2 linked regions of the Nothobranchius furzeri genome follow. The protein of the gene in region 2 binds, or shares a complex with, the protein of the main gene of each other region. Links are inferred from orthologs where the notes say so. Each region holds a gene or a part of one and is shown on either strand. Other genes may lie near its edges.

What was found.
Region 1: the proteins of lman1 (region 2) and mcfd2 are in contact, whole or in part, in a cryo-EM structure (PDB 8JP5), measured with the Homo sapiens proteins. The link is inferred for Nothobranchius furzeri from reciprocal best matches to the Homo sapiens genes LMAN1 and MCFD2. Residues at the interface, in NP_005561.1 of Homo sapiens: His43, Arg44, Arg45, Phe46, Tyr48, Lys49, Ser51, Phe52, Lys53, Pro55, His56, Gln59, Ser60, Asp61, Val64, Pro65, Phe66, Trp67, Lys96, Phe265, Glu273, Lys279, Glu280, Ile281, Glu285, Lys286, Tyr289, Glu292, Phe293, Phe296; in NP_001164977.1 of Homo sapiens: Val59, Ile60, Asn61, Lys62, Gln70, Glu71, Leu74, His75, Phe77, Lys78, Tyr82, Asp83, Asn86, Asp89, Gly90, Leu91, Glu92, Thr95, Thr98, His99, Val100, Leu111, Glu114, Leu117, Ile118, Ile121, Asp122, Leu125, Asp129, Lys130.

What each region holds. Positions count from the first base shown.
Region 1 is NC_091752.1:7,128,941-7,133,554, forward strand, and holds the start of mcfd2 (multiple coagulation factor deficiency protein 2), read right to left. Parts: upstream 2,898-4,614; 5' UTR 2,743-2,897; intron 2,500-2,742; exon of another isoform or gene 2,393-2,499; 5' UTR 2,392-2,392; coding exon 2,213-2,391; intron 2,083-2,212; coding exon 1,923-2,082; intron 1,116-1,922; coding exon 984-1,115; 3' UTR 1-983. UniProt on the Homo sapiens protein: The MCFD2-LMAN1 complex forms a specific cargo receptor for the ER-to-Golgi transport of selected proteins. Plays a role in the secretion of coagulation factors.
Region 2 is NC_091746.1:58,648,620-58,652,436, forward strand, and holds part of lman1 (protein ERGIC-53), read right to left. Parts: intron 3,808-3,817; coding exon 3,684-3,807; intron 2,437-3,683; coding exon 2,378-2,436; intron 2,270-2,377; coding exon 2,137-2,269; intron 600-2,136; coding exon 412-599; intron 234-411; coding exon 157-233; intron 1-156. UniProt on the Homo sapiens protein: Mannose-specific lectin. May recognize sugar residues of glycoproteins, glycolipids, or glycosylphosphatidyl inositol anchors and may be involved in the sorting or recycling of proteins, lipids, or both.

The sequences.
Region 1 (4,614 bases), on a different chromosome or scaffold from region 2:
CCATATGAAAAACTAGATCTCAGGAAAATAAATATTCCACAGATGGATTCAGCAGAATTAATGACGGATTTTATCCTTTTTCTGGTGAAAGGCAGCGAACATCTGAAAGTTTACGTTCAAGTACTTCACCGACACCGACGTGGCAGATGTGTGCTTTCAGTAAGAGGACCTGCAAAGTGCAGCGTGGCTCGGCGTTCCGCGTTTGTGAGACGGATTCACCTCCAGGGAGGTCGGCATCGATCTACAACGGGATCCGATCGGAAAAGTGGAAACAAAACACCGGAGAATGGAAAAAGGTGTCTACCGCCAAAGGAGGTGGCACCCCCGCCACGCCAGTAGCTGTGTGTGTGTGTGTGTTTGAAATGAAGTGGTCCGTTTAAACATTCCCTCAAGTGCTGCTAAATGACTCGACTAAATCACCCCTACGACGACACGAGCCCACATTCCGAGTCAGTCCACAGACTTGTTTACCTTTTGAGACTCTGGTGCTGCTGCAGATCACGGCGCTGAACGTGGAAACCCGACGAGCAGCGAACCTTTGTAACATTCAGTCATTACAGACGTCGGCTGTTGCAGTTTGTCAGAAATAAGTTCTGCTGGGAAGTTTTAGAGCGACATCTCTAAAGGTCACCGACAGAACAGAAAATACGTCTTTCATGGAATTTACCAAGAATTAAACACAAAATTAAATTTAGATTACCTCAAACTTTGGCGATTTCAAGAAATCAACAAAGCAAACGGTGCAAAAAGTGTCTAAACTACAAGAAATGATCTGAAATGAGGCATAAAAAGTTTTTGTTTTTTGAGATGAACCCACCAGCGGTGCTCTGACTCTCCTGTATGAAAGATCAGAAGAGGACCGAGCCCATGACTGATTGTGAGATCTTTCCTGACGAGGTGCAGCCTTGTCTCCACGTATGCCTCCTGCCAACATTTGGCAACTTCTTTTGTCGCCGCGGATACAAAGGAAGCTAAACACGGTTCTACTCCAAGGATCTGGCAAACTCTGCATAGTCTATGTAGCCATCATTGTTTTTGTCGTCGTCCTTCAGGACGTCATCGATTAGTGCAATCAGGTCCTCCTCTTTCATCGGCTGGCTGTTCTCTCCTCTCTCCTGCAAGACAAAGTAGGACCAGTTTATTAGGAGTCTCGTTCCCATAGAAACCATGTCACTGTTTTTTTTAACAAGGTCACTGAGTCACACATACATGCTGAATGATCCCCATCCTGCAGTAGTCGCAGGCAGGAGACTGATCAGAAATAGCCGATCTCTTGCACGTCACTTGAAAAATTCATGGCCCCGCCCACCTTGGCTTGAGACGGAGGGAGCTAGTAGAAGCTAACCATTAGCGTTAGCAGCTCAACAACATGGCAGAACATGTTGGCTCTTGTATTATTTGTGGAGATAAAACGTTGTTGCATTTTTTAAACCAAGTAAATATGTTTTATGGTTTTTTTGACTTTTGAAGGCAGCAGACGTCATGTTGCTGTTAGCCAATCAGAGCTGAGATGTTTGCATGTAATAAATAATAATGAGCAAGACTTGTAATCTGATGTTTTTGGGTGTTTTGCTCTCATTACACGTAAACACAAGATCATAACACCCAGTTACACGGTCTGTTGCCTTGGTAACGGGGTGTGTGTGTGTGTGTGTGTGTGTGTGTGTGTGTGTGTGTGTGTGTGTGTGTGTGTGTGTGTGTGTGTGTGTGTGTACGAACTAGCCTCTTTAGTTGTGGCGCAGCTGCTGTGATTCTTAAACATGTTTTACAAGAACGTTTCTCATCAGAACAACATTTATATCATCTTGTTATGAAAACTGTTCTTGATATTATAACACGCAGGTCCTTTCCCTCGCACTGACAGGAAGACGCTTCCGTTTTGGACAGGAGAGGAAAAACAAACCTGTGGAGCATGGACCTACTTCTTTGTGTACATGCGTGATGGCTGTGGCTAGCTCCAGACCGTCCAAAAGGTTGTTTCCATCGTAGTCGTGCATCTTAAAATAGTGCAGCTGGAGTTCCTGGGGCGTCATGTCTTTCTCAGGTTTGTCTATCACTCCCTCCAGATGCTCCATGATGTGACTGATGACACAGAGAGAAAAGCAAACAAAACCACAGCTTGTATTTGCACAGAGTCAACACTATTTGTGGTTGACGGCAGCAGAGATCACTGCCCTGAATCATCGGTCAGCGTGCCGGAGGCATCACTCACTCCTGGTCTTGGACCATGTTTCTGTCCAGGCGACTGTGACCAGATATGCGAGCTGCCCCTTCTATTACAGGTGGAGGCTGGTGGTGGTGAGGAGCCACCTGGGACTGAACATGCAGCTGACAGCAGGCCAGGAGGAGGAGCAGAGCTCCCCAAGACAAGCTACGCCTGCAGCTTCTCATTCTGTGATGGATAAAAAGAGACATAAACAAAAAGATGAATTCAGTTACACATCCCCTGGGACTGTAATCACACCTGTGCGTCATGTTTCAGCCGTGTAACAACATCAGGTAACGTAAACATAAACAAATCACAAAGAAGTGTGCGAGCTTAAATAACAATCACGTTTCTCTTTTCTAACAGGGAGTATGCCCAAAATGAGCGAAACAACGAAATAACGCTAGCTTATTGGCTACCATAAGGATGTTTTGTGTTTGTTTCACGGCCGTTTAAATAAACAAAGCTTGATAAAAACGTCAATAATAACCAGACTTGTTCTGCTAGAGTTAGTAAACACACGACGTTGTTCCCACCTTTATAAAATTCGCGTCTCCGCTGGGAACGCTTGTTGTTTTCAGTCAGTCGCTGTTAGCACTCTGAGCATTTACGGACCAACTGGCTTGCCGTAGAACCTCTTGTACACGACATCTCAATTGTGATTGGTCAAAGAAAACAAAGATAAAATAAGTAAAGTAAGATGAATCACTACTTAACGTGGGAATTCATCAAAAGTACAAACACAGCCCGTCTTTAGCTTAACGCCACTACAGTGCTTTACTGTAAGTGCGTCAGTTTAAAGCATCAGAAGATGGATTTTTGTTTCATAGATAGTCTAAAATCACTTTAAACGAAACATAACGTAGTAAAACAAACTACACGTGTTTCTTATATGTTGTTCATATTTGAAATCACTGACAAGAGTGAACAACATTTAGCTTTCTCAGTGAAAAGTCATTTATACACGCTTGTAGAGAGAGTCGTGGTTATTTATGGAGTGTTTATTTTTATGTTTATGCATTTAGCAGACGTTTTTGTCCAAAGCGACTTAAAAGTGAACTATCTTAATGAAATAGACCAGCTTTGACGTGGCCTCACGTCAAAGGTGGGCGTGAATCCGCGCTGCTCAGCTGTCAGATTGAAACGACGCAGGGAAAAACAAACACTCCTGTGCGGTGGACGGCTGGGAGGACTGGCAGGCTCCTTTTGTGTCACGCAAATGTCAACCTTCCAGAGAGAAAGCGATGCATCCAAGTCCCTGTTCAAGATGCTGGAGGTTTTTGTTCATGTCATAAGTAGCTGATAGAGTCTCAGTAGTGGACCCCCCTCGTGTTTTAGTTCTGTTCAGCTGCTGGTGGGTTAGTGGTTTCCTGATCTTGACCTTAGCTTTGACCCCAGCTGTAGCTCCTGGTTTGTTCTTCTTTGGACTAAAAATATGAAAAATGTATATATAATAAATAAATAAACGTCCACAGACTTTACTGCTTTTCTCTGCAGCAAACAGTTCAGTTCAAAGTGAAGCAGATTGTTATTTATTTCACCAGTCTTGAAAATAACACGAATTCCAGATCAACAGAAAAATAAAGATTAAACTAGTCTGTTTTGTTTTTGTTTCTTTGAGCTTTTTTGCTCTTACTATAGCAAAATTCTTATTAATAGGAGGAAACTGCTCCAAACAAACTCCCCTCATTTGCATGTATGCAGGCAGCTTTGCTGCAGCTCTAAGCCATGCCTGATCCAGTTAAAGTGTTAATGGAAAAAAGATTAGGGACCAGTTTACACTCTGCCTTGAGACAAATCAAATACCTCTGAAGGGTTTTTGTTGTTTCAACAGATAAACTACAGACAGAAGACACTAAACCTAAATAAAGGCAATGACAAATAAAATGTGATCAGATAAAAAATAAAGTATTAATATTATTATTATAGAAATATCCCTTATTGACAAACGACATTCACTTATTTTTCTACATTTGCAGAGTTGACAAGTTGAAAATGATCCTATTTTGTTTTACTGTAACACCAAAAGGAGTTTACACGTTCACAACGCCACTAATAACACAACCCTTTTGGGAAATCCTCTCTGGTTCACGCGCGGCTTTTCTACGTATTCGTCTTGGTCTCATCTTGTGAAGTTGCACTGGAATCACACATAAAATAATATCATAACAACTTGTTAAAATACTCTGCAGTATTTACCCAACACGTTGAAATGTGCCCAAACTGATTCCATCTGAAATGTGTTTTACGTGTTTAGAAATGTCACTGATCATACCTTTATTATGTAATGCAATAACAATATGCCAGTAAAAAAAATAAAACAGCCATTGCCACCAGTCGATCCTCCACCAGGGGGCAGCAGACCCGAACAGGACTGGGTTTCTGAAGAAGGCACTAATCTTGATACT
Region 2 (3,817 bases):
CGATGTTACAGCCACAACATCCTGAGATTAAATATGATTTAAGAGATTTATCCTGCAGGATTTCCCTTGTTTTTCTCCGATATAACGGATGTCCCGTTATGTTTGCTGCAAAAACAACAGCTAGTTTCTAAAACCAAGCAAACTGCTGTTTTTTACCTCATCTCATTGAGGATTCTGACAACCTCCTGCTGTGTAGCCACGATGGAGCTCAGCTGCTGAGTGGCTGGATCCTGCTGGGAGAGAAGAACAAACACGGGTCAAATGAAGAACTCTTCTTGGTTTATGAAGTCACTAAACAGCAAAACACAGAAAAACCTGCTATTGTTAAAAGTCGGCTTGCCGTTTAATCCCAACGTTTTAACAAGAGGAAGTTATTTGTGTTAGTTTGTTTCCTGGTGATGACATGCCCACCTGTCCTGACACGGCGTTTGTCCCCTTCTTTGCCAGTTCATCGCTGACGATGGTAACGTACCGCCGCTGCTCGTCCAGGATCATAGCAAGGTTCCGGTTGACCTGTTTGATCTCCAGATGGATCCGGTTCTGACCTTCGAACACCTGTCGGATCTCCCGGTCGCTCGCACTTTCATACAAATCTTCAACTTACATAAAAACAGATTTAAGAAAATATAAATAAAACAAAGTTCTGGTAAAAACTAAAAACACAAATAAGAAAAAAAAATACATCTAATATGTTTCTTTACAATACAAACTTAAACAAATCAATAATATAAATTATAAAACAAGAAGCAGTTCTTGTCGATGAGTTTAGTCCAGCCAACATAAAATTAAAAACAAACACAGGATTTAAGGAAATTGAGGCTAAAATCAACATGAGCATTAGACTGAAGAATTATTTGATGAAATAAAATAATTCTGAGTCCAATTCTGATGGCTGCAGTAAACTACATAGGTCATGACTTCTGCCATATCAGAACAGTAGAGCTCTTTAAAATAGGACCTTAATTACAGTTTTATCTGAGCATCGAGTGATTTTTGCAAACAGAATCATTTCCATTACAAAGGTGTGATGTAGCAGAGCTCATTTCCACCCCGTTTTAAAGCCTGCCGCACACGAGAGCAAACTGCTGAGCAAACGGCCTCGAATGACCGTTTGCTCAGCAGATACCTCGCTGTGTGCGCCGGATTTTCTCAGAGTTTTCCACCTCACGAAACGCTGAGGTGAATATCTGACCGGTTTGATATGGTACACCTGACGGTGGACCGTGTGCGCACTACGTGAGCTGCTGGCTGAGCTGAAATATTCTAGTGGCCAATCAAAGCGTGTTCTCCGCTCCCAAAATCGCAGCCCCCTGTCTGCATGTCAGAAAACAAACAAAACGAAGACAGAGCTGGAAACGGAGGATATGCCTTTACTTTTCTGTTGATGAGGCGTCGCCGCCACCATCATTTCAAGGTTAGGAGAGTATGGGTATGGTGGCTGGAAAGAAAGGACAAGCAAGGCGTTTATGCCAATCTACTCCAAGAGATGCGCCTTGAAAACCCAGAATCTGACAGTACCGTCGCCTGGATCCTGGAAACAGTGGGCCCATCGATCCGCAAGGTACCGTTTAATTTTTCTGACATGCAGACAGGGCAGGGGGCTGCATCTGAATACATCATGGAATCATGTGAGCGGAGAACACGCTTTGATGGGCCACTAGAATATTTCAGCTTTGCCAGCAGCACATGGTGAGTTTTCACCCCCCGTGAGGTGGAAAATATCAAACTGCTCAGATATTCACCTCAGCGGAAAACTCAGTGAAAATCAGGCGCACACAGCGAGGTATCTGCTGGGCAAACGGTCATTCGAGGCCGTTTACTCAGCAGATACCTCGCTGTGTGCGGCAGACTTAAGACTCAAAACAATATTAATGGTAGCAATTATCTGCTTTACATCTTATTTTATACTTCATATCACTGCTGTCTGTATGAAAGTCTATTAAAGCTTATATGATGTGGGTCGAAAGTGGAACTGCAAAGCTTTCTTAAAAATTGGAGGAATTGCGCTTTAAATTGTAGCTAAAAGGTTTAAAAAGCTAAACTGTTTAACCTGCAAAAGAAGAACATTTTGAATCTGCTATCAGGATGTTTTTGTCAGGACTTTCTTTGGGTCGTAAGACATAACAGGAAACTAACTTGGCTCTCCTTGGACATCCGGGTGCTCCTTTTGAAACTCTTCTTTCTTCTTATCCAGCTCTTGCTGGAAGTTTTGAAATTCCTCCTGGTACTTGTCCTTCTCTTCTTTAGGAATCTCAGACTCGACTGGAGGCTTCAATGAGAATCACACACGCAAGGAGCAGGGGAGAGGAAAAAAGTGAATTTAGTCAAAATTCCTGTAACCTGTAAACTGTAAACTGGGACGGAGAGCCGTAGTTACCGGTTGTTGGCCTGGTTCTGAGAGTCTGAATAATAAGAAGGACAACACATCGTGGTCATCTGACGGAGGCAAGAAACGCGATTAGAAAATCACAGGAAAGAGTAAAACTCATGAAATAACTGTCTAGATAAATACAGGGTTAAAGTGTATTAGTGAGACATATGAGCACGTTTCTGCTGCTGCACTAGTTTAGCCGATTCATTTTGTTTTTCAGAATAAAGATAAACAAATTTTAGATTCACTAAAAATGAAGCGTGGAGCTGAATTTAAGCATTCAGATTAGGAATGTTCCAATCATGCTTTTTTGATCCCGATCCAATCCGATTCAGAGTCATCTGATTTGAACAATCTGCCGATACAGATTCCCGATTCGATACTTTAGAAATGCATTAAGAAAAAAGGACAACACACTGAAGTTGTCCTTTAAGTTTTTTTTATTCATTAATGCATTTATATATGTAATTTCTGTTAAAAAATCACTTGATTAGGAATTACATTAATAAAAACGCGTTCAGTACAAGAATAAATGTTAAAGTAGCCTAGTTGTCGATCATGTTTTAAATCATTTGCTCGGTGAGCGGCTGTTTTCTGCAACAGGGATGTCACGGCACACGACTGTCAGCAACAGGGTCACTCCGTTCTACAGAACACCTGTAGAGTTGCTGCGTCTGTAAAGTTAGGGAGAGAAGGCAGATCATACCGCGACTCAACCCCAGACGCTCATCCAGTGTGATAAGTGTGCTGCTAGCTTGGCATTTAGCTAATTCGAATTGCTGCAGCGGACTGAGCTGGGTCCGTTTTTTAAGATGGCGCATCAGCTTCGTAGTATTGAACGCAGCACTACCTTTCAACCACATGAAATGCCCAGTTTGCACACATTACACGAGTCTATTTCACTCCTTTTGATGTCTGTTTTAAAATACATCCCAATTACAGACATTCTCTCTCTCTTAAGGTTACAAGTATGTGCTATGTTAGCTAACTGCTACATGTTATGGTGTGTGAATTCCCAGACTACCTTAAACTGTGGGACTTTACAGCGTTGTCTGTGAAACAAAGAATAGTGGCGTAGAAGAACGTGTTTAATTTAAAACTAAGCTGTTGTTTTTCCATTTGAAAATCTCTTTAAGATAAATTTAAAAAGTAATGTTTGTTATTTAATAAGGTTAAATCCGATTTTTCCCACCCGATTCTGATTTCCTGAAAACCACATGATCGGATCGGAGCATCCCTAATTTGGATAATAAAAACACAGCTTTTAAAACTAAGACAGTTATTTTTGTAGGTATGAATTATAGATCGATACCTGCCAAACCACCAGTAGCAGCTGAAATACCAAAGAAGCCTTCAGAAGGAATAATCATGTTTTCCACCTTTGTGCAGAACTCATAGTCCTCTTTGTCTGGAGTGAACCCGTTGTTGATCATAACCTGAATAAGA